Linked DNA regions of Oryctolagus cuniculus. The protein of the gene in region 3 purifies or fractionates together with the protein of the main gene of each other region. This does not show direct contact. Links are inferred from orthologs where the notes say so. Each region holds a gene or a part of one and is shown on either strand. Other genes may lie near its edges.

Region 1 (10,686 bases), on a different chromosome or scaffold from region 3:
CTGGCCCATGGCTCCTGGCTTCTGCCTGGACCAGCCCCAGCCACTGCTGCCATTTGGGGAGTGAGCCGTCAAATGCAAAATTTCTGTCTCTCCCTCTCTCTCTCTTACTCTTTTCAAATAAAGTCAAATAAATCTTTGGAGGGAAAACAAACAAACAAAAAAAGTAAAAGAACTGACTGTTAATTACATATCAGGGCCGGTGCTGTGGCGATCTTCCATCTACTGGTTCACTCCCCAGATGTTGCTGCAACAGCCAAGGGCTGGGCCAGGCTGAAGCCAGGAGCTTCTTCTGGTCTCCCATGTAGGTGTAGGGGCCCAGGGACTTAGGCCATCTTTTGCTTTCCCAGGCCATAGCAGAGAGCTGGATCAGAAGTGGAGCAGCCAGGACTCGAACTAGTGCCCAGATGGGATGTTGGCATTGCAGGCAACAGCTTAACCCACTACACCACAACACCGACCAAACCCTGATTCAAAAAAATTTTTTTTTTACTTAAAATATTTTTATTTGTGCTACTATTTACTACCTTGTAGACTCTTTGTACAAGGTCTACAGGTTCCACATAGTTCAATATTCCCAACCTAGCACTTTGAAACTAATCCTGTTAAAACTATCATCTTTGAATAGTTAAGTAATCAAGTGTAATATGGTAAACGAGCAAATAGGCCTCTATAACAGGTGCATCTCATCATTTCACACAACACTAAAAATGCAGTACAACCTATAACCTACGTCTATTTAAAACTTAAACACTGCTTTTCTAAAAACTACAATATTAAATAGCACTTCTGGTAAAGACATTCTTTTTCATTATTTAAAAGATCTATGCTTTCTATGTGAAACATTTGTTTTCTATATAATCTTCCAAAGTCATTACCTTAGATTTGATGTTTCATTGACATTAATATTAACTACAAATAATTTGAGTAAATATACACATAATGCAGAAGACAGTTTAGAAAGAAGAAACACTATAGAAGAATAAAGACAAGTACCAACACCAGTGGAGTCAATTTGACTTCCAGTATTTCCCTCCTTGTTTCCTGAATGTCAGGCTGGTGGGAAGCGGAGGCAGATCTTCGGGAACTTCTAGGTGGCCGACCAGGGGACCGGGAGCGTGACCTTGACCGACTCCCTCGACTCCCTTTGCTCCCCCGCCGTCTGGAGGGAGAACTGGAGGTTGAGCCACTTTTCCTTTGCTTAAAAGAAGTTAAAGGCTAGGGAAGAAAAAGAAGGAAAATGGCTTCACCACAAATGATAATCCACAGAGACAGACTCAAACTAGGAGAGGATTGCAAGGGCAGTAACTGCTCCCGTTAACTCTGAACCCACCACGGAAACCCCGCGGTCCGAGACTGGCTCAGATGAGGCCAAGGAAAGAGGCTGCGGCCATGATCATCTCTCCTAAGACAAATGCAGCCTTTCCACCCCCACCACCCCTGCCCCCGCTGCTCCCTGAAGCTGTTCTGCAGAATCACCGTGTCTGCTCTGCGCTGTACACCCCCCAAAGGTCTTCACAGGAAGGGTTAAGATGAACATGATGACAACTGAGACGACAGGACAAAACAAACTAGAACTCAGCCAACACAAAAAAAATGAGTCCCACGGTTTCGCTGTGAACAACCACTCGAGCAGATCCTGAAGACAAAGGGCAGGAGTGGCTTCCGTGGCCCCGCGTGCCTGTCCCCCCCCCCACCCCAATCGCTCCTGCCACTGCTTCTTGGGATCCAGAGCTGGAGAAGGAAGCGCCGGTCCAGGACAACCCTGTCTTACGTTGCCCTGCAGCTAGGAACAGCCTTTCTATTTCCTCAGTGACTGCAAACAAATAAACATTGCATGATACATGAAGAAATTCAGACTTCAGTGTCCATAAATAAAGTTTTATTGGAACACAGCCATGTCCATTCCCTTCCATATTGCCTGAAGCTGCTCCTGCACTACAGAAAACACATGGCCTGGCCCAGCCAACACTGTTTACAACTTGTCCTTTGCCAGACCCTGGTCTAGAGCAAAGTAGGATCCAAGAGCTGCTGGTTACTGCTCGGCAGTGAGCGCCAGGATTGCTAACAGGCGGACAGAACTGTCATAGCACTTTGACAACCCAACTTAGTGTCTGTTGAATCTTACAATAAAAATGTGTGGCTTTTACTCAGGATGTCTTTTGATTTTTCTACTAATTCATTTTTGTAAAGTATTTGTATACCATCCATCAGGCCCTCACTAGATGGGCTGAAAAGCCATGGGCTGGACTCAAAGCTATTTAATGGCACTCTCAGTTAAGCCCAAACCCCTGGACATGAAAGATAAAAAATCCTTCCCACGCAGCCCTGTTTATCCCTCGGCCGGCCCGACCATCACACCCTTCCAGCAACATCAACTTCGTCATTCCAGTCTGTCCTCAGCACCTGGTCCAGGCTTCAGCTTCCCCGACACCGGGGCCATTCCCTACTCTTGATGTGCTCGGTCCCACCCGCAGCATACATGCAGCCCACCGTAAAGGTCTACTTTCCCCAGTAAACTGAGCTGCTGGGGATCGAGGCTCTGTGCCTTCTTCATGCATCCCCAGAGCCCAGAACAGCATGTGACCCACAGCAGGAACTCGACCCAGAGCCAGAACTCACCACCCTGCCTTAGAAACCGCACTCACTGTAAACACTCTCCGGGAAGCCAGAGGAGCGCTTACCTTGATGTCACTCTCCTTCAATTCCAGCTCAGTTCCATCCTTGTATTTTACGGTGTAGAGCTGAGATTTGCTGTCATGACTCAAAATCTCTACTTCGTAATAAAGCGAACTCCCGGGCCACCGACCTCTTACCACTTCACCATCCGCAAACTTCCTACTTGGCATTTTCTAAAATTAGCCTGAACAATTTTAAAGAAAAAAATTGAGTCAATATGTGCACAGTTATATTTATATTTTTTTCCATAGGCTGATCTCGAAGCTACAGCTTTCCAGATTTTCTTAATAAATGGTCAAAGTGCAGGGCCAGAAGCGTTTCTAGAGGAAAGGGGTACAACTCCTTAAAGATGAGAAAACTGAAGTTTAACAATGTAAATGGCAGGAAACAGCAGGTACCACCACACAGAAGGTGTCCTTTCTGCCACATTGTATCCCATGTGGAATCACTACATAAGGCTGATTTAGCCAGTGTGACACATGCGACACTAAGGATTAGTTATGACAATGTATGCAGGCATCAAATAGTTGCTCTAATGCAAAATGCTACCCACCTACAGTCACCGTATTTCCTGCTAATCGAAAGTCAGAGCAAAAAAAAAAAAAAAAAAAAAAGAGCACAGTCTCGCACAAGACACATTTGCTGACTGTGTATTTGCATATTGTTTTACAAAAGTTTTTAAAATGTTTTCAATTACATTTTAATAAATTGCCTTTATTGAAAACAGACTAGGAAAACCAAAAACGTGCAGCTAATATGCCAATAACCCATCAACAAGAAAAATAATTCTAAAATTAGAATGAATAGCAAATGTGGGCGTTATAAGCTTTTGATTTTTGGAGCCAAAGCCCAAACGTCTACCGAGTAACTCTGCCAACCACCCACGCAGAGCAGCACGCACCTGGCCGTCATCCAAGTTCCCCTCTCTCAAGCCTGTGGCAGACACCGACCCCCCAATTACAACATTCTTTTCCACTGAATCAAAGCCTGGCCCACGAAGCCTGGGATCTACAACACTCCAAGAAGCCACCAACAAATCTGCGAGCAGTGTCACTTCCACGAGGCCTGTCCCCCACCTGAAATGTCAGGTGACTGCTGGTGCCTCCAGCTCCTGGTGGTCACGCTGCTCCCTCTGCTGAGCAGCAGGTCCACCACCAGCGCCTCCGACCCTCCAACACCATGAACCAGCCGGCGGGGGCCCGCTCTGCTCCAAGAGGCAGACAGCAAGACCCATGGGGGCACGCTAAGTCACTTGCAGCTGGCCAGCAAGGCGACACAGGGATGCACATTCCTGTCACAGCCCGAGCCCTCAGACCACTGCGAGAAGGCTGCCCGACCTGGGCCTCCTGGGAAAGTCTTTCCTGAGCACACCTCCCCGCTGTTAATCACCTGAGAAAAACCTGCCCAAGCTTCACTCGTTCACATAGCTTCTAGATAGACAGCAGTAGATTACAGAAAACACAAGTGCTTATCTGGCGATTCAAAGATGTCAGCCAGTTACACATTAGGTAAGAGCCTGCTTTCTTCCCAACACCTGAGATAGCATCAGTGGGTAATGAATGGGTGTAGGCTCGAGGTATGAAGTCAGGCCCGGCCAGGGAGTCACCCTAGGGGCGGGCACCTGAGCAGCGGCCAGCTCTGGACAGGCAGGAGGCGCACAGAAAGGGAAGGTGACAAGAGCAAGCTTTGCCTGTTTCAACACTGAGCCTCAAGCCCCAAGTACGAAGAAAGAGGAAGGAAATGTGCCCTACTTCTCTCTTCTCGTGTGCCCCCTCCTCCCCCTGGGCTCCCCAAAGTCAATCCACCGTCCTAAGTGCTAGTTCTACACTGCTCAACCGGGGTTTGAAGAAGGCAGTTCCTACAATGAAGACTTCAGGGCTACCTGTAAAGGCCCGTGAGCAGATTCTTTCTGGACCTTTACAAAAAATGTCATTTTTTGGACATCTTTGCCTTGCACCTATGACACAGTGCACTCATAGTACTGTGCAATACTGAACACAGGTCAAGGCCAAAAAGATTTTTCTGTTACCCATTAAGTAAAATGGTTTGAGTCAAAGTAAGCCATCTGGTGGATGCATGCTACGTCCCAAAGCTTAGTTTTAAAAAAGATTTACTTAAGAGTTGGGACCTGATAGTGATCTTTCCTGACAGACGCAAAAAAGAAACCAGGGGCCTGCGCTTCAGCACAGCGGGTAGAGCCGCTGCCTGCAGTGCCAGCATCCCACATGGGCATGGGCACCAGTTTGAGTCCATGCTACTCCATTTCTGATCCAGGTCTCCGCTAAGGCCTGGGAAAGCAGTGAGTGGAAGACGGCCCAAGTCCTTGGGCCCCTGCACCGGCATGCAGAAGAAGCTCCTGGCTTCAGATCAGCCCAGCTCTGGCCGTTGTGGCCCTTTGGGGAGTGAACCAATGGATGGAAGACCTTTCTCTCTGCCTCTGCCTCTCTGTAACTGCCCTTCAAATAAATAAATCTTAAAAAAAAAAAAAAAAGAAAAGAAAAAAGGAAGGAAGGGAGAGAGAGACACACAAGAGACACAAGAGACAGAAAAAGAATAGAAAAAGACGACAAAACAAAAGAAACCAGCACTCTGCTTGGGAGACCACTGTCTCACATACAAATGTTCCCAAAGACGAAGCCAGCAACACGCGGACTCCTCCACTTTGCACAAGATCCACACACAACTGCCAGATGGGCGGATATGGTGCAACTGCATCCTAACATAATCTCCTGCAGGGCCAGGGTAGGACGCAGGGCCCCAGACACCTGCGCATGTCATTAGGCCAGAGGGAGTGAGACTGACGAAGATTGGCTTCTCTGGGCAAGGACATTAGCCGGGTGCTCCGAAGGAAAACCCGTTTCCTGACCTCGGTCATCAGGAGCAGAAGCTCCTGGAGCCGCAGCCTCCCCTCTCTTTAGCCGGAGGCTTGCTGACTCTTCCGTCTCAAGAGGCGCCAGCGTGTTACTATTTATCAGTGTTACAATCCTCTGATGCCTTTCCCTGCCGACGACTGTTACCCGGTCTTCCGGACATTCCCTTCACTTTTACCAACTGGTCTGAATGTGACAGAAACAACTCAGGTGAAGGTGCCTGCAACACCTGCGCCGACCAGCACGACGCACAAGCCCTGGCCTCGCTCCCTCCCGCTGCACCCAAATGCCGCCTTCCCGGCCGGCCGTACAGGCACAGCGGCCTTCTACTCTTCCCACTCCCCAGAAGGCTCTCGGAAGCTAAACTTGTCCTGAAATTTGGCCAGGGCCAAAGCAAGCCCCCCTCCCCCTCCTCCCTGGACCCCAGCCTCCCCTCGGAGCAATCCCCAGGGTGCAACCCCGGCCCGCCGGCGTCCGCCCGGGGGGCGGCAGCGGGAAACGCACACCCGCGGCGGGCCGAAGCCCCGGGCCGCCCACACCCGGCCCTGAGCGTGTCCATTGTGTCCCTTTCCAAGCATCGCCGGACAGCGCGGCGCTCAGCCAGAGCGCCTGGAACAAGGCCCCGCGCGATCAAGTGCTCACTAAGTGCCCCTTGAGGCTGCGGGAAGCGCGAGGCAAGCTGTCACTTCGGGGCGGGAGGATCGTTTTAACCTTAAAAGGCTGGGAAAAAAAAAAAAAAAGAAAAAGAAAGAAAAGAAACAGGATCGCGCCGCAGCAGGAGAGAGCAAGCCGACCCAAAACGTCCGCGTTCTGAGACCGCCGGGGCCAGGCACCACAAAGCCGACTCCCACAGCAGCCCCGCGCCGCCGATCTGTCAGCGGCGCTCGACCACGGGACAAAGGCGCCCACCGCCGCCCGCCCACCCCGCGCCGCGCCACCGCGCGCCTCCAACATGGAGGGAAACGTCCGCGGTTCAAAACCCGCCGCTCCACTTCCGCAGCCGCCGACCGCCCAGCGAGCAGGCGGAGCGGGAGGGGAAAGCAGCGAAGGCGAGGCCGCCGCGCCAGGCCCTGCGCCCGAGGACCCCGGCCCCCACGCGGCGCCCGCCCCTGCCTCCCCCCACCCCTGGCCGCCCCTCGGAGGCCGCGCCGCGGGGAGCGGGGAGCGGAGGGCGGGCGCCGGGCGGGGCCGGGGGCTCACCTGCGCCGGGCTCCGGCGGGAACTCACACTGCGGCAGGGAAGAGTCGCGCAGCAGCACCTCCGCGGCGGTTCCGCGCGCGCGACGCTGCCCGCCGCGCTCTCGCGCCCCGCGGTCCCGAGGCCCGGGCGCGCGCGCACCCGGTCCCGCCCCTGGGGGCCGCCCAGAGCTCCCATTGGCCCCTCGGCGTTTTGAATCGTTCCTGGCGCCGTCGATTGGCGGCGCGCCGTGGCGCGTCCGCTCCGCCCCGCCCCGCGGCTCGGCTCCGGAGCCCGGGGACGCCGGGGCATCCGAGCGGGCGGGTCGGCGCCTGGTGCAGCTCGCGGGCATGTTTGGCCCGGCCTTATCTCGGCCGCCCAGGCGCCCTCGCAACCCACGGACCGCGCGCTCCTCGCCTTTACCCTCCTGGCTTTTCGCAGGGGATAATTGGGGGTCCAAGGTGGCTTGGCAGAAGAGATTAAAAAAAAAAAAGCTTGGAAGAAAATAATAAATTCGTATGGTGATAACGAAGGTTCTGAGCCGAAGGTGCTTCTGGTTAAAATGGAATGGGGGCCATTCTTAGCGCGAGCTACGATGCCGCGGCTCCTGAGGCGTCCGGGGGCAGCTGGCGCCCGCACGACGCTGCCGTGGGAAGGGCAAGCCCGCCACGACGCGGGGCCAGAGGCGGAAAGGCCCGCAAGCCTGGCTGTAAGGGACCCCCCCTGGTTCCCAGCCCCTGTGCCCCCTGCAGTCTATCATCATTGCATGGCTGGCTTCCTTCCTTTTGAGGTCGAGAGTTTAAAACAGGCCGGTCGGGCTTCCCTGTTTTGCAGTGTGGTTTTAATCAGAGTCTTTCTCAACCCACTTACCAAGGACACCTAAGTGGATTTCTGCTTCGGAAGCGCGAGTAGGCTTGTTCTAGCCTAACACAGTTACAAAACACTGAAGAAAGCAGGCGGATACGTTGGGCCGCCTCAGTCACTCGCGTTCGGTGTGAATGAGCTCATCGAAGTCCCCCCCACCCCCCAGCCAGGAAATACGAGAACGAGATGAAGGCCGGAGCTGGAAACCAGAAGCCTCCTCGCCCCTCCTGTAACCCTACCCGCGTGTCCATCAAGTAGCCCCCTCGGGGAGGAATGTCTCTTCCCCGGGGCCCTGGGATGGGCGACGCCTGCAGCCGCGCCCCTTCCAACCCTATGAAAGAGGCGGGCAACTGGGCGGGTCTTCCTTCGTCAGAGACCCCCGACTGGAGCTGCTGCCGAAGGTGCCCTTCTCTCCACCTCCGCTTCCCTACGCCTTGTCTACCTCTGGCCTACGCCATGCCTCAACTATGCCCAGGTGTGTGTGCGCTGTCCCACCTTTGATTTAAAAGGCATTTATGAATTCATTTGAAAGGCAGAGTTACAGAGGGAGACAGACACTTCCATTGGTTCACTCCCCAAATGGCCACACCTGCTGGAGATGGGCTAGCCCAAAGCCAGAAACTTCTTCCCGGGCCCCAGCATTGGAACCGTCTTCTTCTGCTTTCCCAGGAGTATTAGTAGGGAGCTGGATTGGCAGTGGAGTGGCCAGGACTTGAGCCAGCACCCATATGGGATGCCAGCATCGCAGGCCGTGGCTTTACCGGCCATGCCACAGCACCGGCCCCTGCTGTCTCACTTTTAAGTAAACTCACTACTTTGCACCCTGTATATGTGCCTGTACTTAGAATGCTTCTCCAAGTGCAAGAAGGCAAGGACCTGGAATAAAATTCAGTCCCACCTCTCCCACTTCACTAAGAACAGGCCCTGACATCAAATTGCCATCACGGTGACAGAATTTGTTTACAGAAATGGACATTACACTTCCAGGTCAGAAAACCCTTGGGAGTTTTGGCAAACCCCTAAGTCTCAGTTGCTTCAACCCCAAAGGTAAGGTAACATTAACACCACTTCGTAGAGCTTCACAAATCAAAGTGCTACACCAGGTCCACAGGGACCCAGCACAGATACCATATCGAGACCTAAGAGATGCTGCTGTCCTTCAAATGTCATTTCCGATCCAGCTCTCTGCTGATGGCCCAGGTAGGCAGTGGAAGATGGTCCAAGTCCTTGGGCCCCTGCACCTGCATGGGAGACCTGGAAGAAGCTCCTGGCTCCTGGCTTCAGATCAGCACAGCTCCAGTGACTGCGGCCATTTGGGGAGTGAACCAGCAGGTGGAAGAACCTTTGTCTCCCTCTCTCTCTCAAATAAATAAATAAAATCTTTTTTAAAAAGTCATAAGATTGTAAATTACTAAAGTCAGCTTAGTTAACGTTATACCTTGCAGATTACTGAAGATGTTTTTTAAAGATTTATTTAGTTTTATTTGAAAGGCAGAGTTACAGGGAGAGGGTGAGACAGAAAGGTCTTCCATCTGCTGGTTCACTCCCCAAACAGCTACAATGGCCAGAGCTGGGCCAATCAGGAGCCAGGAGTTTCTTCCTGGTCTCCCACAGGAGTGCAGGGGCCCAAGCACTTGGGCCACCTTCCACTGTTTTCCCAGGCTATGGCAGAGAGCTGGACCAGAAGAGGAGCAACTAGGACTTGAACTGGCACCCATATGGGATGCAAGCAACACAGGCGGAGGTTTAAGCTACTACGCCACAGTGCCAGCCCCATTAAATCATTTTGAAAATAACTGATTTATTTTTAAAAATAATAAAATTTTTAAAAATAATAAAATTAAAAATTATTGCTTAGAGAAACTAAGCAATAATTACTGTTCCTTTCTAGTGAGCACAATGAAGTATACCGTGAAAACTCAAACATGGAAGCCACAGTTATACACTGTTATAATTTTCTTTTTTAACAATCGCTGAAAATTGTGTTGATTTGGAAGTGAAGACTTTTCAGCTTTCACTCTCAAAAAGATGCTTTTCAATCACAATTAGCAAGCTGCGAATATTCAAAATGTATAAAGTCGAAGTCCTTTAAGATGCTTGTCTTGGGCCCCCTGCTGGTCACACGGCCAGGAGTGACATCAGTCCCCTCTCCATCTACAATGCGGGCAGCAAAGCCCCATCTCACTCAGCCCAGAGAGCAGCCAAGAACTCCCCACAGGCCAGGAAATCTTTCTGCACGAAAGGCACGCTGGGGGGTCTCGTCCAGTCTGGCTAGCGTTCCGCCCTGCTCCCCAGAGCGTCCTGGAGCTCCAGCCTGAAGCAGGTCTGGAACGTGAAACCCAGCTGCGGCCTCCTGCGTTGCTTTATAAGGCTCACACTTCCACTCCGGAATCTGGGCAGGCTTCAGTCATGATGGAAGAGAGCTGACAGAAACACACTCCCACCGCCATCGTTCGATGTGCACCGCTTCTGTCCACCGGGATGTGAGCTCACGATCACCATCAAGCATTAAATCTGTCCGTCTCAGTAGCAGCTTTTATTTGAAACATCCACACATGTGTGTACTTGCAGCACTCATCCTCCCTTTTACTTTATTATTTATTTGAAAGCACAATGGGGGGGGGGGTCTTCTGTCTACTGGTTCACTCCCCCAAATGGCTGCAATGGCCAGAGCTGGGCCAAGCCAAACCCAGGAGTCTGGAACTTCATCCAGGTCTCCCACATGGGTAGCAGGGGCCCAAGCCCTTGGGCCGTCCTCCACTACTCTCCCAGTCCATTAGCAGGGAGCTGGATCAGAAGTGGAGAAGCCAGGACTCAAACTGGAGCTCTGAAAAACAAAAGCAGGCGTCCCCAGTGGCAACTTAGCAGGCTGTGCCACAATGCCACTCCCCACCATTTTTCTTAATGCTTGACTATTTTAAATGTTAAATATATTTTAATTAATTAATTAGAAGATGAAATTATTTGGATAGATCCAAGTGTACTGCCATTGCTGCTTCAAACTTTAAAAAGCCGAGGTCAGGGCCAGCTCCGTGGTGTAGTGGGTAAGACCTCTGCCTGCAGTGCTGGCATCCCACTTGGGGGCTGGTTCAAGTCCTGG
Region 2 (9,940 bases), on a different chromosome or scaffold from region 3:
AGAGGGACAAAGCCCAGAGCCCTCAGAGAGCCTGGGGCAGCCAGAGCCTGTCCTCCGAGCAGGTCCGCGCCAGTAATACCTGCTCCACGGGCCTAGGGCCCCTCGAGAGCCTGGTCAGGGGCAGGACAGGCAGACCCCTCCCACTCTGTCAGCCAAAACCTTGGCATCCGCAAGGAAGACCCAGAGGCAAGAGCCAGAGGGGCACAAGCCGCTCCCAGCGGGAAGCCAGGATCGCCAAGGGGATGAGCGCCACCTAGTGGTGGCCGCTCCTCAGCACCAGCCGTCTGATGGTGACCAGACCTCACCCTGAAGGCCAGGCAGAGCTCCTGCCATCAGCGAGACCCTGCCGACCACTGCAGGTCCCCAGACGGCTTTCAGAGGGCTCCTAGAATCAGGAGACGCCAGCGTGAGTGTCGAGGTCAGTGTCCCTGTGTCATGTCTGAGCCACGCGTGCCACATCTGCTGGAACAATGGAACAAAGAGCCCGGGCTGCAGCGGGAACCCCAGGGCCTCTCCGTGACTGCACCTGCCTGGTGCTTCCCAGCACCACACCCAGGCCACCAGAAGCTCCACAGGGCACCTCCCGCTGGGAAATCGCAGGAACCGCCCAGAACCTGACCCCCAGCCCACCCAACGACAAAGAAAAGAAAAAGGCAAGCACAGGGAACCGTTACCCACCTCACCGCGGCGCCCAGGACCAGCCCTCGCGCACTGACACTGGGTTGGGCGAGGCCCAGGAATCTGCTTCTTCACCCAACTCCAGTGCCACATGTAGTCTGCGTGCCACGGCAACCACAGGGCACGCGGCGAGGCAGTGGAGGTCACAGGCTGACCCCCAGCCATGTGAGGAGGTGGTGCCAAGGGCACCAAGGCAGCCGGGCACAGGAGACCTGCCCGACAGGGAGGCACCTATCCTGGGCCTCAGGGCCGAGCTAGGGCCGAGGACGGACAGCACCCACCCGGAGGCCCCTCCTCGGCACAGCAGAGCCGCACAGCGACACAGGGACTCCTCGGCGGCTCTGGCCTCTGCTGCACCAGCCGGGCCCCGGGCCTGACACAGTCCCAGCCTGACGTCCCCCCCCTCCAGCCTGGCCACCAGGTACGGACACAGGCGGGACAGACACAACACACTAGCGCCCGGTCACCATGCTCAGGCGGGGAAGAGGGACTGGAGGGCGCAGGCCGCACGGCAGCCCCAGCCCACGATGGCCAGCTGCAGCCGCCAGCCGCCAGCTCCACCACAGGCCCCAGGCACCCTGCACTGCAACAGGCCAGTCGCTCAGGCACACGCCGGCCTCTGGCTCTCTCCCCACGGGAAGTCGGTTGTCTCCCCTGGGAGCAGGAGAGCCTTTTCCAGGAAGTTAATTAGCCCAGAACACAGGAGGACGCACAGCATCAGGCCTGCCGGGGCAGGCCCTCCACGCGCCCAGCGTCGGCAGCAGCGCTTCAAGAGGAAACAGCAGCCCGGCCTGCTTCTGTGATGTGGACAGCAGGAGAGGAGGAAGCGGCATCATCAAGTGACGGCGACCTGAAGCCAAACCACGACCGGCAGGCTGCGACGCCGGCACCGGCACCGGCAGCAGGGAGGACGCCTGGGACTCCAGGTCTCAGAAGCCCACAGGCAGGCGCAGCAGGGCGCTTCACACACCCCAGGCCCCAGGCCCAGCCTCCACACGCAGGCCCCTGCAGAGCCCTGCCCACACTACACACCCGGGCCAGGGGCCCAGCGCCAGGGGTGGGTGCCCAGCAGCTCAGCCCCGGGCCCAGGGCTTCCTCCCCGGGGTCGGCTCTCAACCCTGAAACTTCAGCTGTGTCCACGGACGATGGTCACCCGGAGGGAACAACACCCCCAGAGCCATCACCTCCTCCACCCGTCCACAGCCACAACCCTGCCACCACCTTCAACAATGACGCTCCCAAGGGGCCGAGCGCCCTGCGCTGCCCCACACGGGCCGTGTGTGGGGGTAAAGGCTCCCGCCGCAGCCCAGCGGCCAAGGAGGCAGGGCCGAGTGCCACGCTGAGAGCAGCTCCGGAAGCCGCCTGCCCAGGGCCTCCTACCTGAGGTTCAAGCCTGTGGCTGCATCCAGTCTCTCCCAGCCTTGCAGCTTTGCGAGCAGCCTCTGGAAAGACAAAGCCAAGTCCCCATCACCGCCTGCCCAGGAATCACCGCGTAAAACCCACCATCCCACAGCGGCCCCGGAACGGCCTGTGCTCATCTCACAGGACGTGCCAGGACGTGCAAACGCCCACCCCACATCCCCCAGCCGGGACCCTGCACGCGTCACATATCCTCCCTGGCCCCCGAATTCAAGCCTGAACCCCAGCAAGTGCAAAGGGAGTACGGAGGGCAGGCATCACAACAGGGTTAGGCCACCCCCTGCAGTGCCGGCATCCCACATAAGCCCAAGTTCAAGTCCCGGCTGCTCCATTTCCAATCCAGCTCCCTGCCAGAGCGCCTGGGAAAGCCACAGAAGACGGCCCAAGTGCCTGGCCCCTGCCACCCAGGTGGGAGACCCAGATGGAGCTCCTGGCTTCCTGGATCTCCTGGCCGGCCCCGGCTGTGCAGCCATCTGGAGAGTAAACCAGCAGATGGAAGACCTCTCTCCCTCCTACCTTCTCTATAACTCCGCCTTTCAAATAAACCATTTTAAAAATAAACTAAAACGCACGGAACCATGAGTGCAGGGAGCCTGTGCCCCACAGAGCAGACCCAGGTACTGAGCCCCGAGGGCTCACCTCTCCCCCATCTCCCAGGTGCTCCATCAAATGCCAAGCCACAGGGCACACACACTAACCCCAGCCCACGGAGAGCTGCGCCAGCAGGCCGCACAGAAGGGCAGTCGGCCCCCGGGTGTCAACACCATCCCATCACCAGCCTGCCCACCATCATGACCCACACACCAAAAGTAACGGGACCTCAGGGCTCTCCCGGAACGGGAGCCACCTGCAGTTGCCCCGCTGCCCGCCACCCCACTGTGGCACACAGCACACATGGCTATCCAGGGCATCACTCAGTCAGGTGTTTCCCACGCCCTCCACGTGGTAGCGGGTGCAGCCAACATGACACGCCACACCCACGGGGCAGCCCCCGTCACCACTCCTTGCTGCACAGAGGGAGCCCGGTGGAAGGAAGGCAGCACACCCACGCAGGACCCTCAACCGGGAGGTGGGACTTCAGGCCCTCAATCTTGACTCATTTCCAAGAAAAGTTATTTCCAGAGAAAACATAACTTCACTTGGGATGCCAGCCTGGGAGGGGAGCCCCTGCCCTGACGGCTGGGCTGCCCGGGCGCTCAGCTGGATGCAACTCTGGGAAAAGGCTGGGGCCCGACACGGGCTGGGGATGGCCAGGCCGCGGTGAGGCCGCGGGCGGCACAGAAACGGCCAAGCAGCACGGACCCTGCCACCACACGGGGGCGTGCTGGGCAAGCCGGAGGCCTGAGGCGGCTGTGAGCACGGGAGGCGGCATGGAGGACAACAAACCCCAGCGGAGCACACGTGCTGTGCACAGGCGGCACCTCTGAATTGCAGTCTCCTCCCCCGCCTTCAGGCCTCCCAGGGCCGCAACCTCCCACACGGACACCTCGGGTCCCAGCCACCCGCAGGGGGCTCTGTCACTCTCACCTCCGACGGCACCCAGGACTCCCGCCTGACTCCCATCAGCACAGCCAGGCAGCCTGCAGCAAGCCAGCGTCAGACCTCACAGCTCTCAGTCCCGAGCCCGCACCGCGTCCCCACGGGCAGGGCTGGGCCCACGGAGGCTCCAGGCAGAGCCGCCTCCTGCCTCCCAGCCTCGGCAGGCACCCACGTTCCCCGGCCATCCCCAAAGGCGGCCACAGCCAGCAGAGCCACCCCCTGGCACCCTGTGCTGACACGACACACCCAGATGGCCACAGCCTCTCTTCACGCAGGGTCAGGGTCACAGGCTCCGGGATTCACAACATTCTGCTGACGCCTCCAGGTCCCGTGGGACGGCCAGTGGAGGACGCGCAGCCTCGGCCTCACCTCCTTCTCCAGCTCCAGGTCCACCACGGCCTGCTGCACCTGCTCCTGGCGCGCCAGCCGCCTCTGCAGCCCCTCCAGCTCCTCCTGGAGCAGCCCGTTGGTCTCACTCATCTCCCTGATGGGGCCAGAAACGGTCTCTCAGGCAGCCGCCCACCTGGGGACACAGCGGGGCCCCCACGACGGCCCCACGGCCCCCACGGCCCTCACCGCAGGTGTGAGTTCTCGTCCTGCAGCCGCTTCAGCTCCCGCTCCATCTTGGGGAGCCGCGCCAGCTCCGACTTCATGCTCCTCACGACCACGGCGTCCTGCTCCTGCAGGGACAGCTTCTGCTCCAAGTCCTGGCGTGGGGGAGGGGGGGACAAGAACGAGCTGCCGAGCCTGGGAAACGCGGGTGCAGCAGGTCAGCGCCGCCCGTGCACCAGCATCCCTCACGGGCACCGGTTCGTCCTGGCTGTCCTGCTTCTGACGCCTGGGAACACAGCAGACGACGGCGCCACCACTCGGGTCCCCGCCACCCACACAGGGGCCGGGATGGAGTTCCAGGCTCCAGGCTTCAGCCAGGCCCAGCCCCAGTGTTGCGGCCGTTTGGGGAGTGAACCAGTAGATGTTAAGATCTGACAGCCGGCACCACGGCTCACTAGGCTAATCCTCCGCCTGCGGCGCCGGCACACCGGGTTCTAGTCCCGGTCGGGGCGCCGGATTCTGTCCCGGTTGACCCTCTTCCAGGCGTGCCTCCACCCTCCCTCCGCACCCTGCACAGCCAGCGTGCACGCGGCCACCCTTCCCTCAGAGTTCTCTAGGAGCCAGAGCTACTCCCCATCTGTCCCAGAGACCCCAGCACCAAAGCTCCCACTGTCCCCCACAAACAGGCAGGCGTCAGCCAGTGACACACATGTGACAACAGTCTGTGCTACCAGAGAGGACAGACATGTCACCCCAGGACACGAGTCACTCAACAAGCTAACGTAGGAATCTGGGACTCAGGCAGTCAGTCAGCAAACGCTAACAGAGCCCATGTCTTGTCCAGGTACTGGGTACAGCAGGGGACAGAGCAACACGGGACATCAGGCCCAAGGGGTCAGCAATGCCGAGCAGGGGCTGGGAAAAACGAGGCAGGACGGTAGAGTGGGGTGCAGGGCAGACGCTGGGGCCGGGTAGAGGGTGAGCCCCCAGCCCGGGGCCAGGTAGACGGTACAGAGGCGAGAGCCGCAGCACCCACTCTGATGCCAGGGAGCCGCTGACGGGGCTCGGGCCCCACCTCTGCCATGAGAGCAGCTCAGACGGGCACAGGCCGCAGGCAGATCTGCGACGGCGCTAAGTCCACTCCAGGTCACTTCCAGCAGCTCTCTGCTCTCCCTACGTGTGCTAGGGCCACCAGTCAGCTCAGGTCCACCACAGTCAGCTCAGGTCCACCACACACAGCCCAGGGCCACCACAGCCAGCTCAGGGCCACCACACAGAGCCCAGGGCCACCACAGCCAGCTCAGTTCCACCACACACAGCTCAGGGCCACCACACACAGCCCAGGGCCACAACACACAGCCCAGGGCCACCACAGCCAGCACAGGGCCACCACACAGAGCCCAGGGCCACCACAGTCAGCTCAGGTCCACCACACACAGCTCAGGGCCACCACACACAGCTCAGGGCCACCACAGTCAGCTCAGGGCCACCACACAGAGCCCAGGGCCACCAAACACAGCCCAGAGCCACAACACACAGTCCAGGGTCACCACAGCCAGCCCAGGGCCACCACACAGAGCCCAGGGCCACCACAGCCAGCTCAGGGCCACCACACACAGCCCAGGGCCACCACAGCCAGCTCAGGGCCACCACACACAGCCCAGGGCCACCACACACAGCCCAGGGCCACCACAGCCAGCTCAGGGCCACCACACACAGCCCAAGGCCTCCACAGCCAGCTCAGGACAACCACACACAGCTCAGGGCCACCACACAGCTCAGGGCCACCACAGCCAGCTCAGGGCCACCACACACAGCCCAGGGCCACCAGAGCCAGCTCAGGGCCACCACACACAGCCCAAGGCCTCCACAGCCAGCTCAGGACAACCACACACAGCTCAGGGCCACCACACAGCCCAGGGCCACCACACACAGCCTGCTCAGGGCCACCACACACAGCCTGCTCAGGGCCACCACACACAGCTCAGGGACACCACAGCCAGATCAGGGCCACCACACACAGCCCAGGGCCACCACGGCCAGCTCAGGGCCACCACCCACAGCCCAGGGCCACCACACACAGCCCAGGGCCACCACAGCCAGCTCTGGGACACCACAGCCAGCTCAGGGCCACCACACAGCCCAGGGCCACCACAGCCAGCTTAGGGCCACCACACACAGCCCAGGGCCACCACAGCCAGCCCAGGGCCACTACAGCCAGCTCTGGGACACCACAGAAAGCTCAGGGCCACCACCCACAGCCCAGGGCCACCACAGCCAGCTCAGGGCCACCACAGCCAGCTCAGGACCACCACACAGCCCAGGGCCACCACACACAGCCCAGGGCCACCACACACAGCTCAGGGCCACTACAGCCAGCTCAGGGCCACCACAGCCAGCTCAGGGCCACCACAGCCAGCCCAGGGCCACCACACACAGCCCAGGACCACCACAGCCAGCCCAGAGCCACCACAGCCAGCCCAGGGCCACCACACAGCCCAGGGCTACAACACATAGCCTGCTCAGGGCCACCACGCAGCCCAGCTCAGACAGGCTTGCGCCAGCAGGGGACGCCGCGGCCCCGTTGCAGGCAGTGACGCAGGCTCACCTTGATCTTCTGTTCCTGGTCGGCCTTCACCTCCTGGCTGGCCTGCAGCTCCTGGATCTTCTGGTTAGCTTCCTGCCACTGTCTGTCACAGGACGACAAGGCATGCGGTGAAGCCAGCGACCCCCTGCCTGGCCCCCAGACACGCTCCCCCTGCAAAGACACCCGGCACCCTGGGCTCCAGCTCCTCACCTCACAGGGCGGGTGGGCAAGCCCAGACCACCCACGAGGTCCTTCCCAGCTGTGACCCCCCAGGTCCCCCACTCCCAACACCGCTCACCCCACACCATCTGCCTGCCCCGGGGCAGCTGCAGCGGGCTGCCCAGGACTGACCACTCCCTCACCCCTGCTTCAGCTCCGGTCATGCCCGGCCTCTGCCCAGCTTGTTCCCAGCCCCAGGACGCGCCCTCCCCACCCTATGACCTCGGGCCTGACTGAGGAGTCCCAGCGGGCTGCCGTCATGCGCGATCTGGCTCAGGGCCCCCAGGTCTGGGCACCAGCCCCTCCTGCAGCCGGGGCAGGCCCCCCCGCACCTGTGCCGCAGCTCCAGCTGCTCCCCCAGCTCCTGCTTCTCCGACTCCAGGCGCTTCAGCTGCCTCTCCTGGTCCGTCAGGCTCCACTGCAGCTCCGAGACCCTGCCCTTCAACGCGTTGATGGTCTGCGGAGAGGGGACACAGCAGCCGCTCACCGAGGCTGGTCCCAGTGCTTGTCAGGGGATGAGGCTTGTCTGCAACAGGGCGAGGACAGACCCACGCCCGGGGCACACGTGATGGACCCCATGCCTGACAGCCTGCCAAGGGCCTCCAGCAACATGAAGTGCGTCAGCCAGGGTGAGCCGGGCCTTCATGCCCAGGGCCCAGCGTCCACCTGGCACACACCCCTGCATCCCCACTGCGCTCAGCCTCCAACCCCAGCAGCGCCACACAGGAGGGAGCTGACCTCCAGGCCAGCGGGGGGGGGGGGGGGGGGGGGGACTTGGAGGGCTTGGAGAGCAGCGGGCAGGACCTGGGAGGCAGGCCCGAGCACAGCCAGCAGCCGCCAGGACCGCCAGGACCGCCAGTCCAGCTAGCCCCTCCGGGCCACCCTTGGCGTGCCTCGCGCCTCTCCGGGACCTGCTGATGACCTCCCACACCGCGTTCCTGGCTCAAGTCAGCACAAAGGCCGGCCCACTGAGAAGCGTCACACACATGGGCACACAGAAACCCCCGGGGAACCCACACAGCAAGCCCGCCACAGTGACTGGAGCTGGGCAGCCCCCCAAGCGGCTCACTCTGTAAACAGGCCCAGCACTCGGCTGCAGGGCCCCGAGAGCCCGTGCCCAGCCTTCACCCACGGAACGCACGGGGTGCCTCTCACCCCACAGCCCACTGGGGGCTGACACAGGCCTGTGGGAAATGGGACGCAACACACACACGCTGGGGGCTGACACGCCCACGCTCATTCAGCACACTGCAAGGGACCGACTCAGGAACCAGCAAAGGAGAAAGGTGTCAGACACCTGACGAGGAGCACAGGCTGACACACAGGGCCCATGGGACACGGGACACGACACGCACACGCTGGGGGCTGACATGGGGCCAGTGGGACATGGGACGCGACATGCACACGCTGGGGGCTAACACGGGCCTGTGGGACACGGGACACGACACGCACACGCTGGGGGCTGACACGGGGCCCGTGGGACACGGGACACGACACGCACACGCTGGGGGCTGACATGGGGCCAGTGGGACATGGGACGCAACACACACACGCTGGGGGCTGACACAGGCCTGTGGGACACGGGACGTGACACGCACACACTGGGGGCTGACACGCCCACGCTCATTCAGCACACTGCAAGGGACCGACTCAGGAACCAGCAAAGGAGAAAGGCGTCAGACACCTGACGAGGAGCACAGGCTGACACAGGGCCCATGGGACACGGGACACGACACGCACACGCTGGGGGCTGACATGGGGCCAGTGGGACATGGGACGCGACACGCACACGCTGGGGGCTAACACGGGCCTGTGGGAAGCGGGATGTGACACGCACACACTGGGGGCTGACACGGGGCCCATGGGACATGGGACGCGACATGCACACGCTGGGGGCTAACACGGGTCTGTGGGACACGGGACGCGACACGCACACGCTGGAGGCTGACACGGGCCTGTGGGAAATGGGACGCAACACGCACACACTGGGGGCTGACACGCCCACGCTCATTCAGCACACTGCAAGGGACCGACTCAGGAACCAGCAAAGGAGAAAGGCGTCAGACACCTGACGACGAGCATGCCCTTCTGGAGGCCCGTGGGACGCGGGACGCGACACGCACACGCTGGGCACAAGGACAGGCAGCCCAGCCTCGCAGAGGCTGCACCGGGAGCAAGCAGACAGGCAGCAAGTGGACAGGGACCCCTGAGGGGCACTGTGATGCAGGAACACAGCTGGCGGGGAAGGCCATGGACTTCCTCCTGGGCCTCCTGGGGGAGGCCACTCAGGCCGGCAGGTGGGGAGCGGCAGCCACGTCCTGGTGCCCCCCCACGGGCCCCAATCAGGCCTACGGCCGCCCCCTCTGCCCTTCACTGAGAGGTGTCCGACGGCCCTCCCCAGGGGACTGCAGGCCACAGCTGCAACAGGCGAGTGTGTGAGGCTGGAGCGGACTTCTCTGGACGCGGGCCACGCCTCCCCTCCTGCCAGCGCCCCTTCAGCAGACAGACGTGGGGACAGCCTTAACACGTCCCCGGCACTGCCAAGGCAAACACAACCTGCAGGCCGCCGCGAGGAGCGCGTGGGGACGGAACGCCAACCACCCCGCGCCTCCCGGCAGCTCCTCCGTGGCTCCACACAGCGCCGTGATGCTGAGCGCCACGCAACAGGGACGGGCAAGGCGCGGGCCGTCCAGCTCCCAGCTCTCGGGCACACACGCCTCCCCGGGGCCACAGCGCCCGGACACCGGCTTCAAGGCCACCTCAGGGGCCCTCAGAGGCTTGCAGGCCTCGCTGAGGATCAGAGAAACGCAAATCCCGAGACCCCACCTCCCCCTCCCACCACCACAAGAAGCGGCATTTCCAGAAACGCCACCCTCCACGGCAGGCCAGGCTGCGGCGAGCCCTGACGCGCCGGCCGGGACCCTGGGACCCCTCCTGCGACTCTGC
Region 3 (10,406 bases):
TGGCCGGGCCCCCTCCGGGCCGGCAGCAGCCGCCGAACAGCTCCGATACCCGCGAGTCCATTCGCCGCTGCCGCCAGCCCCCCGCCCGGCCCCTCCCCCCCGCTGCCGCCGCCGCCGCCGCCGCCGCCGCCGCCGCCCCCTCCGCCGCCGCCGCCGCCCCTACTGCCACCGCCGTGTCGGGCCAGCCAGAGGAGAGCGGGGTGGGGCCCGGCGCAAGCCACGCCCCCGCCTCCTGCCTCCTGGTCGCGTCAGAAACAGCCGCGGTGCACCATGGGATACGGAGTCCACAGCCCTGGGATCTCGCTCGAAACCATAAGCCGCCGCCCTACAACTCCCAAGAAGCATCGCGGCATGCAGGGTCGCAGTAGTGGTGGGGCGTGGACAAGAGCGCGCCTTCGCGCGCAAAGACCTATGGGGGCTGTAGTCTGGCTCCCAGTCTTCGCGCGCCGAACCGCTCTTGTTCCAGGGCCGGGGGATGGGGCCGGCCACTGTCCGCGAAGGGTTTACATCGGGATCGAGCTTTGCGGGCGCCCCTGGGTTTGGCCCCTTAAGCGCAGATTCTGAACAGATTTTGGATGTGGAGAGCTGCAGAATTCGGGGTGACTTCGGCCTGCTGGCTCCACCCCTGCCTCGGTTTCTTCCCCGATGGCCGGCGTGCCGTCGGGGGTGAGTCAGGGCGAACGCCAGGGCGGAGGCGGGTGGTGGTTAGCCTAATTATGGCTGTTATTGTTGCGATGATTATGCCACCCGTACATAGTAGTCGCTGCTTTATGACCAGGCTGGCACCTTCCGAGGATTGGTTTTGGCAGCCCCAGGCACTGCCATGGCCCGACACGAGGCTCGAACCTATAAACCTGCTGGCTCCCGGGTGGGGGAAAGGAGGGAGCGGGGTGGGGTGCTGAGGGGACTGCCGCAGCGCGCCTGCCTCCTCCCCTTTGTTTTGAAACTGAACCAATAGGGGAAACCTAAGTTTGGTTTAAAAACCACCAGGGCTGTAGGAGGAGCCTGGCTCTCTCTAGGGGCGGGACCGGGGTTCCAATTACAGCAAGCACTGCGAGGGCGGGGAAGTGGCCGGGAATAGAAACTTGGCCAAGGGCTCCAGGGGCTTGTTGACTTCTGCTTTTCTTGCCAAGTCACCTCTCCTGTTCTTTAGCGCTCTTGCACTCGGCGAAGAGTAAACACATTCGTGACAAGGCAGTGTCCAAGGCACCAGAGAGGCAGGGCAGGGAAGCAGTCCTAGGTTCAGTTCCTAGCCCCTAGGCCCCCAGGACACCACGGAACAGTATATCCACTTCCCCTCTCTTCCCAAACACTGAGTGCATCCACGGCCAAGAATTAAAACAGCTCTTCCCCGCCAGGCCTCAGTTTCCCTTAGAGGACTGGAAGCAGCGGCAGTGGCTTACCTCTGGCAATCCCTGCAGGGGTTCAGACCTGGTGGAGTCCATGGCTTCCTGTCAGGGCCACATGGAGGGAGACTGGCGGTCTACAGATGTGTAGGTGTTGTCTGCCTAGCATAACTCCCCGAGGCAGAGAGCGCAGAAAGACCAAAATCTGCAAAAGGGCCCAACAGGCCCAGCCGATTGTGTAGGTCTTCAGGGGCTGCAAGCACAAGTGACTTCTCTTCTTGATCCTGTGCAGTTGTTGAGGGAAAGGCCCACCCCAGCCAGGAGCAGAGGACCGCTGCTGAGGACCTGAGACTGCAGAACTCAGCGAGTGACCTCCAGAAGGAAGGGGATTGGAAGGGAGCGATAAGACCATCCCCCAACACACTCACTCCAACCAGAAAACCAGGGCCTGCTGCTCTTGGGAGATAACCCTTGTCTGTTCATCCACAGGGATCTTTCAACCACCAACCCCAACTCGCAGAACTTAGCTTCACCCCTCCCCATTCCCGTGTCTCCTAAGTGGAGAACTTCTTTGAAGAGATGGGAAGGGATAGCCCGTTCTGATACACCTTTCCTGACCACACCTGGCCTACCACAGTCAGAAGTGAGGGCGGGTAGAGGCGGAGGCTGAACAAAGCTGTCTGTCGAGGAGATCAGGGTCCTGGGACCTGGAACGTGGTGTCTGCGTTGTTTCCTGGAGGCGTTGCTTAAGAGGTGCCTGTGAGGTGTGTGGCTGTGGGATACATATATTAAGGATACACACACCCACGTCACATGAAAACATTTTTCCTGGTATGTCATTAGTCACTTATTTGTGTGTAGAGTACTTCTGCATACGTTTAAACTCACATTTAGCAACCTTTCCCTTATGCTATCTTAATTTTATGTCATCCCCTAAGATTTTACCCCAACTCTTGGGTTATAAGTTATGCCCCAATATTTTCTTCTAGAAGCTTTGAGGCTTATTTTTATGTTTAGAGCTTTAATTTGTTTGGGTCTGTCTCTCTGTAGTATGTTGGTAGGAACTAATTTGATTTTTTTCCTGAATGGATAGGGAGTATTTTTTTTTTATTATTTGACAGATAGAGTTAGACAGTGAGAGAGAGAGACAGAGACAGAGAGAAAGGTCTTCCTTCCACTGGTTTACCCCCCAAATGGCTGCTATGGCCGGAACTACGCTGATCCGAAGCCAGGAGCCAGATGCTTCCTTCTGGTCTCCCACGCGGGTGCAGGCGCCCAAGCCCTTGGGCCTTGCACCCAGGGAGACCAGGAGAAGCACCTGGCTTCTGCCTTCGGATCAGCGTGGTGCGCCAGCTGCAACGTGCCGGCCACAGCGGCCATTGGAGGGTGAATCAACGGTAAAGGAAGACCTTTCTCTCTGTCTCTCTCTCTCACTGTCCACTCTGCCTGGCAAAAATAAAAAATAAATAAATTTAAAAAAAGAAAAGTCGTCATCATGATAGACTGTGATCTGCATGGGAGGGTACTTCAGAAAGTTTGTGAAACATGAAATTAAATAAGTGCAAAAATTTTTCGAAATCCATTGCTGCTCTTTCACGATATACATTTTGCATATTTATTGAAGACCTCTTTGAATTCATGGATTTCACATTGTTCTAAATTTTATTTTCATTTTATTGGAGAGGCAGACAGAGAGACAGTATCCATCTGCCAGTTTACTCCCCAGATACCTGCAACAGCCAGGGCTGGACCAAGCTGAAGCCCCGGAGCCCAGAATCAATCCAGGTCTCCCATGTGGGTGGCAGGGACCCAGGTATTTCAGCCACCCTCTTTTCTTGTGTCCCAGGGTGCACATTAGCAGGAAGCCAGGCATTCAGTATGCGGTGTGGGCATCCCAGGCAGCAACTAAGTGCTGCACCAAGTGCCTGCCCCCAGACTTCAAAACTTTTTTGCACCAGGACAAACATCTTTGAATTACACTTTCCACAAAAATATTTAAAGTACCTATGATGTAGATATCTTAGTATGTGGACCTGTTTCTGGACTATCTTCTGGTTTACTGTGTGTACATTTATTTTTTAAGATTTATTTATGTGTTTATTTGAAAGGCAGAGAGAGAGAGCGATATCCCCCATCCACTGGTTGGCCCCCACAAAATGGATCCAATGACCAACAGGGGCTGGGCCAGGCTGAAGCTGGAGCTAGGAACTCCGTCTGTGCATACGTTTAAGTGAATCAGAAGTGGGACAGTGGGGCCAGCACTGTGGCTTAGCAAGTAAAGTCACCACCCATGATGCCAGTTTGAGTCCCTGTTGCTCCACTTCCAATCCTGCTCCCTGTTAATGTGCCTGGGGAAGCAATGGAGAATGGCCCAAGTCCTTGGGCCCCTGCACCCATGTGGGAGACCTGGAAGAAGCTCCCAGCTCCTGGCTTCACACCTGCCCAGCTCTGGCCGTTGTGGCATTTGGGGAGTGAATCAGCAGATGGAAGATCTTTCTATCTCTCTGTCTCTCTGTAACTCTGTCTTTCAAATAAATGAAGTAATTAAGTGGGAGGGGCAGCACTGTGGCATAGGGGGTAAAGCCACCACCTGCAGTGCCGGCATCCCATATGGGCGCCGGTTCGAGTCCCGGCTGCTCCACTTCCGATCCAGCTCTCTGCTATGGCCTAGGAAAGCAGTAGAGATGGCCCAAGTCTTAGGGCCCCTGCACCTCCATGGGAGACCCAGAAGAAGCTCCTGGCTCCTGGCTTTGGATCGGTGCAGCTCCAGCTGTTGTGGCCATTTGGGGAGTTAACCAGCAGGTGGAAGACCTCTCTCTCTCTGCCTCTCCTTTCTCTGTGTAACTCTGACTTTCAAATAAATAAATAAATCTTAACAACAACAACAACAAAAAGTGGAGCAGCTGGGATTTGAACCCGTGTCCATAAGGGATGCTGGGATCACAGGTGCTGGCTTAATCCTTTGTACCACAATGCTTCCCTTCCTCCCCCAACTTTTTTTTTTTTTTTTTTTTTTTGACAGGCAGAGTGGAGAGTGAGAGAGAGAGACAGAGAGAAAGGTCTTCCTTTTGCCATTGGCTCACCCCCCCCCCCCCAATGGTCGCTGTGGCCAGCGCACTGCGGCCGGCGCACCACACTGATCCGAAGCCAGGAGCCAGGTGCTTCTCCTGGTCTTCCATGCGGGTGCAGGGCCCAAGCACTTGGGCCATCCTCCACTGCACTTCTGGGCCACAGCAGAGAGCTGGCCTGGAAGAGGGGCAACTGGGACAGAATCCGGCGCCCCGACCGGGACTAGAACCCGGTGTGCCGGCGCCGCTAGGCGGAAGATTAGCCTAGTGAGCCGCGGTGCCGGCCCAGAAGCTTCTTCTGGGTCTCCCACGTGCTGTGGAGACCCAAGCACTTGGGACACCTTCCTCTGCTTTCCCAGGGACATTAGCAGAGAGCTGGATTGGAAGTGGAGCAGCTGAGGCACTAACTGGCACACCATAAGGGATGCTAATGCCAAAGGCGGAGGCTTAACCTGCTATGCCACAGCTCCGGCTCTTATAACTCTGCCTTTCAGACAAATGAATACAACTTTAAGAATCTTTAAATGCATCTTCAAAAATGAGGTGGGAGGGCCTAGGATCCAGATGACACTGTTAATGGGATAAGCAGAGAGTGAAAAGAACCTGTGGAGGAGACTGAGAAGTGCCTAGATTATACAAGTAGAAAGAAAAATAGACAAGTGTCAGGTTATGGAGGGCAAGAAAAGAATCTGTTTCAGGAATACTAGATGTTAAAACATACCAGAAAAGTATGATTAAAATACTGTGGTATTGGCTCAGAAATAAACATACACATAATAGGTCTGACATTGTGGTGCAACAGGTTAAGCCGCTGCTTATGATGCCAGCATCCCTTATGGGCACCAGTTCAGGTTTTGGCTGCTCCATTTCTGATCTGGCTTCCTGCTAATGCACCTGGAAAAGCAGCAGAAAATGGCCTAATTACTTGGGTCCCTGCAATTCATGCAGGAGATCTGGATGGAATTCCAAGCTCCTGGCTTCAGCCTGGCCCAGCCCGAGTCATTATGGCTATTTAGGAAGTAAACCAGCAGATGGAATGACTCTGTCTATGTCTCTCCCTCTTTCTTTGTAATTCTGCCTTTCTTTTTATTTTATTTTATTTTGACAAGCAGAGTTAGACAGTGAGAGAGAGAGAGACAGAGAGAAAGGTCTTCCTTCCGTTGGTTCATCCCCCAAATTGTTGCTACGGCTGGTGTGCTGTGCCAATCTGAAGCCAGGAGCCAGGTGCTTCCTCCTGGTCTCCCACACGGGTGCAGGGCCCAAGCACCTGGGCCATCCTCCACTGCACTCCCACGCCAGAGCGGAGAGCTGGACAGGAAGAGGAGCAACCGGGACAGAATCCGGCGCCCCGACTGGGACTAGAACCCAGTGTGCCTAGTGAGCCACGGTGCCAGCCCAATTCTATCTTTCAAATAAATAAATATATTTTTTAAAAAGTGGGGGAGGGGCCGGCAGAGAGAGAATCCTTCCATCCACTGGTTAACTCTCCAAATGGCAGCAGTGGACCAATCCGAAGCCAGGAGCTGGGAGCCAGAAGCTTCTTCAGGGTTTCCCATGTGGGTGCAAGGGCCCAAGGACTTGGGCCATCTTCTACCGCTTCCCCAGGCCATAGTCGAGAGCTGGATCAGAAGTGGAGCAGCCAGGACTCAAACATACCCCTATGGGCTGCTGGCTTAACCCACCTTGCCCAACTTACTCTGCAGCCTCCCAGAGTGATCCTATCCACTCCCATACTAATGGCTGTCTGTCCCAAATGGTGTTTCTAAATGTCTCTATTCACTGTCCTGTGGTGACACTGAACCCAGCCCATCAAAAGCAGGTTTCATCTTTTCTTCTCACCTCCTAGTAGATCTGGTCCTCGTTTATTGCTCCATCTTTCATCGAATGGAGCGCCTAGTAATTCAGTTGCTGGAGTCACAACCCTGCTGGTTTTTCTTTTTTATAGACTGACTGATTGATTGGTTTATCAGAGTTACAGACAGAGAGGGAGAGGCAGAAGAGATCTTCCAAGTACTGGTTCATTCCCCAAACTGCTGCAACAGCCTGGACTAGGCCAGGCCGAAGCCAGGAGCCTCTTCCAGGTCTCCCACGTGGGTGCAGGGGCCCAAGCACTTGGGCCATCTTGGGCCATGCACATTAGCAGGGAGCTGGATCAGAAGCGGAGCATCCAGGATTTGAACCGGTGCCCATATATGATACGGCACTGCAGACAGTGGCTTAACCCACCGCACTATAACGCCAGCCTGGACAGTCTGTTTCCTCGGATCAACTACTAATTTATGCTCATTGGGCCCCTTTGTATCTCCAGGACTCACCCAGTTCTCTCCCTCCCCTGCCACTACCCTGGTTCCGTTCTGTCTCAGCACTACCTCGAACTAGAACCCCTGTCCCTGTCTTTTATCCTCCCTGTAATCCAACTTCTACAGTGCAGCCAGCAGGGAGATTAAACGGGAAAGATGTGAACATAATCATGTCACTTCCCCTACTTATAAACAGCTTCCCTACCTCCCTACGGGGGATCGAGTTCAAAGCCTATCAAAGCTTAGAAGATCCTGTCATGATCCTGTCTCCTCCACGCCCCAGCGCTTTAGGAATTCTTCATTCCTTGAACAGGGGATGATGTTCTTGTCTCTTGGGGTCTCCTCTTTACCTTGCTAACTGACAAGGTCACAACATCTTCACACATTTCTTCTGGAACCACGTACCCCTGCCCCAACCCGCTCTGGGTTAGGCGCCCCAGTTCTTCCCTCCCCCAGCCCTTGTATACCCCACTGTATCAACGCATCCCATTGCACTGTACGCATAGGCAGTGCCCCCCTCGACGGCAGGGCCCGCGCCGGGCTTGTCCCCGGCGGAGCCTCCAGCACCGAGGACAGGGCCCGGCGTGAAGAAAGTAATGAACCCAAGAATGAATGGCTGCTAGAGGGCGGGTGGCCGCGAGCGCCTGGGCTCGCGGTAGCCGGAGGGCTAAGGGTGCCAGCGCGGGCTCCACCCCCGACCCCGCCCCAGGGCGGTGGCGCCGCGCCCCCTTCCGGCCGAGCCGGAAGTGGAGAGGGCTTCCCATGACGCTCCGCGGGCCGATCATTCTAACGCACGGAGCTGAGGGAGGAGGTCGCGATGGCGGCCCCGGAGCCGGAAATCCCGTCGCCGGCCGCAGGCACTGGTAAGGCATGGGGGCCCGGGCTTGCGGCTCCTCGGGGCCCTGTTTCTTCCCTACTGCCGTCCTGTCCTATCACCGCGCCTCTGGTCCTTCTGGTTCCGAGCTCCGGGTTCGTCCGCTCTCCGATGAGACTGCGCCTCGCCCTCTTTTCCCTGGGTCAGGAGCCCGATTTCTGAGTAGAGCCTCAGTCACTGACCGGGAATCTCTCTCGTATCGGCCACTTAGTCATGTACGGCCGCGGGGGTCAGGAATCCCGCACGTACGCACTAGGGTATCTGCGGCGTCGGGGTGTGCGTGGTGGCCGCAGGGAATGCGAAGCCCGACCCTGGCTTGTGTCTCATTTCCCTCTCTTGTGTCCTAGATCTGGAGTGGTTTGACCAGTCGGAAGAAATTCACGGCTCCCCGGTGGAACTGCCGGAGACTGCCTCTGCCCCCGAGGCTCCCGGCTCTGCGGAGCACTGCTGCCCGAGAGACTGCATGGTGCCGGTGGTGTTTCCCGGGCCGGTGAGCCGGGAAGGCTGCTGCCGCTTTACTTGTGAACTGCTCAAGCACATCATGTACCAGCGCCAGCAGCTGCCTCTGCCCTACGAACAGCTGAAGCACTTCTACCGAAAACCTTCTCCCCAGGTAGGCACGGGCTACGGGGGGGAGACGTCGCGGCTCTTGCCTGGCGAGCAGGTGGAACGGGGATCCGAGCCATCTGCAGGGACAGTCGGCGGCGCTGGCTCCGCGCTCGCGTCTTCAGCGGGGTGACCCTCTCTGGTTTTTTCCCTCTTGCTGTCTTCTCCCGAAACCCCTATTAAGTGTTGCTTTTGGACTCGAAGAGTTGAGCCTTTACATTTTAGTTTCTTTTCTCCAAATTTTCATGTTTGGTTTTTCCTTGATGGGGGAGTTCTTTGACTTTATATTCCAACACCAATACAACTTATTCTTTTTTTTTGGCAATCATTGTTAAGAGTTCTTAACTTTCGCATATGCTCTTTGCTCTTTTTCCCCCCAAAATGAGTTTATTTTGCTCTCATATATATATACATATATATATACATATATATATATACACATACATACATACATATATACCCCAGCAAAAATTGACTGCTTTGTGGCATGCCACCAAATTTCCTTGGCTATCTTAGCTTCTTATATCTGGCCGCTCTCTTGGCTGTTGGAAGGGTGGGAGAACTATGGCACAAAGAGTAGATTTCACTTTTTGCTGTGATGTTGATAAAGCCCAGTGATGTGGCGATGACATTCATTGAGCTAGACGTTCAGTCTTTTTAAGATTTATTTATTTACTTGAGAAACAGAGTTAAGAGAGAGAGGGAGAGAGAGAGAAAGGTCTTTCATCTGTTTCACTTCCCAAATGGCTGCAAGAGCTGGAGCTAGGCTGATCGGAGCCAGGAGCCAGGAGCTTCTTCTGGGGCTCCCATGTGGGTGCTGGGGGCCCAAGCTCTTGAGCCATTTTCTATTGCTTTCCCAGGCCATCAGCAGGGAGCCAAATCAGAAGTGGAGCTCCTGGGACCAGAACTGGTACCCATATGAGATGCCAGCTCCGGAGGCAGATGCTTAACCTAGTATGCCACAGTGCCGCCGCCCCCGCCCCCCACTTTTTTTTTTTTTTAAGATTTATTTATTTATTTGAAAGTCAGCATTACACAGAGAGAAAAGGAGAGGCAGAGAGAGAGAGGGGTTTTCCATCTGATGGTTCACTCCCCAGTGGGCCGCAACAGCTGGAGCTGAGCTGATCCAAATCCAGGAGCCAGGAGCTTCTTCCAGGTCTCCCACTTGGGTGTAGGGGCCCAAGCACTTGGGCTATCCTCCACTGCTTTCCCAGGCCACAGCAGAGAGCTGGATCAGAAGAGGAGCAGCTGGGACTAGAACCGGCACCCATTTAGGATGCCGGTGCTTCAAGCCAGGGCATTAACCCACTGCACCACAGCGCCATCGCCCCTCACAGGGTTCTTTAAAAGGCATTAGCTTCCCCTACCTTGTCTCTCTGTCTCACCAAGCTTTGTTGTCACAGGCAGAAGACGTGGTGAGGAAGAAGCCGCGGACGGCTGCCGAGGCCAGCAGCAGGAAATGCCAACAAGCCCTGGCGGAACTGGAGAGTGTCTTCAGTCACCTGGAGGGCCTCTTTGCCCGAACCCTGGTACCACGAGTGCTGATCCTCCTTGGGGGCAGTGCCCTAAGCCCCAAGGAGTTCTACGAACTTGACCTGTCCCGGCTGGCTCCCTACAGTGTGGACCAGAGCCTGAATACAGCAGCCTGTTTGCGCCGGCTCTTCCGGGCCATTTTCCTGGCTGACGCCTTTAGCGAGCTGCAGGCCCCACCGCTCATGGGCACCATCGTCATGGCTCAGGGGCACCGTGACTGTGGAGAAGATTGGTTTCGACCCAAGCTCAACTACCGCGTGCCCAGCCGCGGCCACAAACTGACCGTGAGCCTGTCCTGCGGCAGGCCTTCCGACCCAACAGTGGCTTCGGACGATTACATCTGGTTCCAGGCCCCAGTGACGCTGAAAGGCTTCCACGAGTGACGGAGGACGCTTCCTCATCCTGGAAACGGATGGCCGAATGGCCCGGCTCCCTTCGGCACCGAGCCACCCGACTCTCGCTTGGAGCTGGCGTTGCTTCCCGGTGAGAGGGGAAGGCACTGTCCTGGCTGCCTCCCCTCCTCACACTTCCGGGGGGCTGACGGTGTGTGGCTAGGACCATGGTAATCATCCCTGAGCTACAGCTTGTTGAATCAAAGGTTGCTTTTCCCAGAGGGTGCTGGGTCAGGTGTTTCTGTTTGGGCTTGCAGAGCAAAGCCGGGTCCAGAGAGGGACACTCC

Evidence for each region.
Region 1: the proteins of MAD2L1BP (region 3) and LBR purify together in Homo sapiens (co-immunoprecipitation; 3 studies listed by BioGRID and IntAct, counting the BioPlex papers as one, with this or other methods). This does not show direct contact. The link is inferred for Oryctolagus cuniculus from reciprocal best matches to the Homo sapiens genes MAD2L1BP and LBR.
Region 2: the proteins of MAD2L1BP (region 3) and MAD1L1 purify together in Homo sapiens (co-immunoprecipitation; 4 studies listed by BioGRID and IntAct, with this or other methods). This does not show direct contact. The link is inferred for Oryctolagus cuniculus from reciprocal best matches to the Homo sapiens genes MAD2L1BP and MAD1L1.

The regions. Positions count from the first base shown.
Region 1 is NC_091444.1:40,005,093-40,015,778, reverse strand, and holds the start of LBR (delta(14)-sterol reductase LBR), read right to left. Parts: upstream 6,903-10,686; 5' UTR 6,747-6,902; intron 2,861-6,746; 5' UTR 2,847-2,860; coding exon 2,682-2,846; intron 1,216-2,681; coding exon 994-1,215; intron 1-993. UniProt on the Homo sapiens protein: Catalyzes the reduction of the C14-unsaturated bond of lanosterol, as part of the metabolic pathway leading to cholesterol biosynthesis.
Region 2 is NC_091450.1:37,066,053-37,075,992, forward strand, and holds part of MAD1L1 (mitotic spindle assembly checkpoint protein MAD1), read right to left. Parts: intron 7,452-9,940; coding exon 7,327-7,451; intron 6,879-7,326; coding exon 6,797-6,878; intron 4,344-6,796; coding exon 4,213-4,343; intron 4,121-4,212; coding exon 4,006-4,120; intron 2,121-4,005; coding exon 2,059-2,120; intron 1-2,058. UniProt on the Homo sapiens protein: Component of the spindle-assembly checkpoint that prevents the onset of anaphase until all chromosomes are properly aligned at the metaphase plate.
Region 3 is NC_091436.1:126,439,716-126,450,121, reverse strand, and holds the start of MAD2L1BP (MAD2L1-binding protein), read left to right. Parts: upstream 1-7,435; 5' UTR 7,436-7,531; coding exon 7,532-7,577; intron 7,578-7,935; coding exon 7,936-8,201; intron 8,202-9,597; coding exon 9,598-10,110; 3' UTR 10,111-10,406. Other genes in the region: GTPBP2 (GTP-binding protein 2), read right to left, coding at 1-61. UniProt on the Homo sapiens protein: May function to silence the spindle checkpoint and allow mitosis to proceed through anaphase by binding MAD2L1 after it has become dissociated from the MAD2L1-CDC20 complex.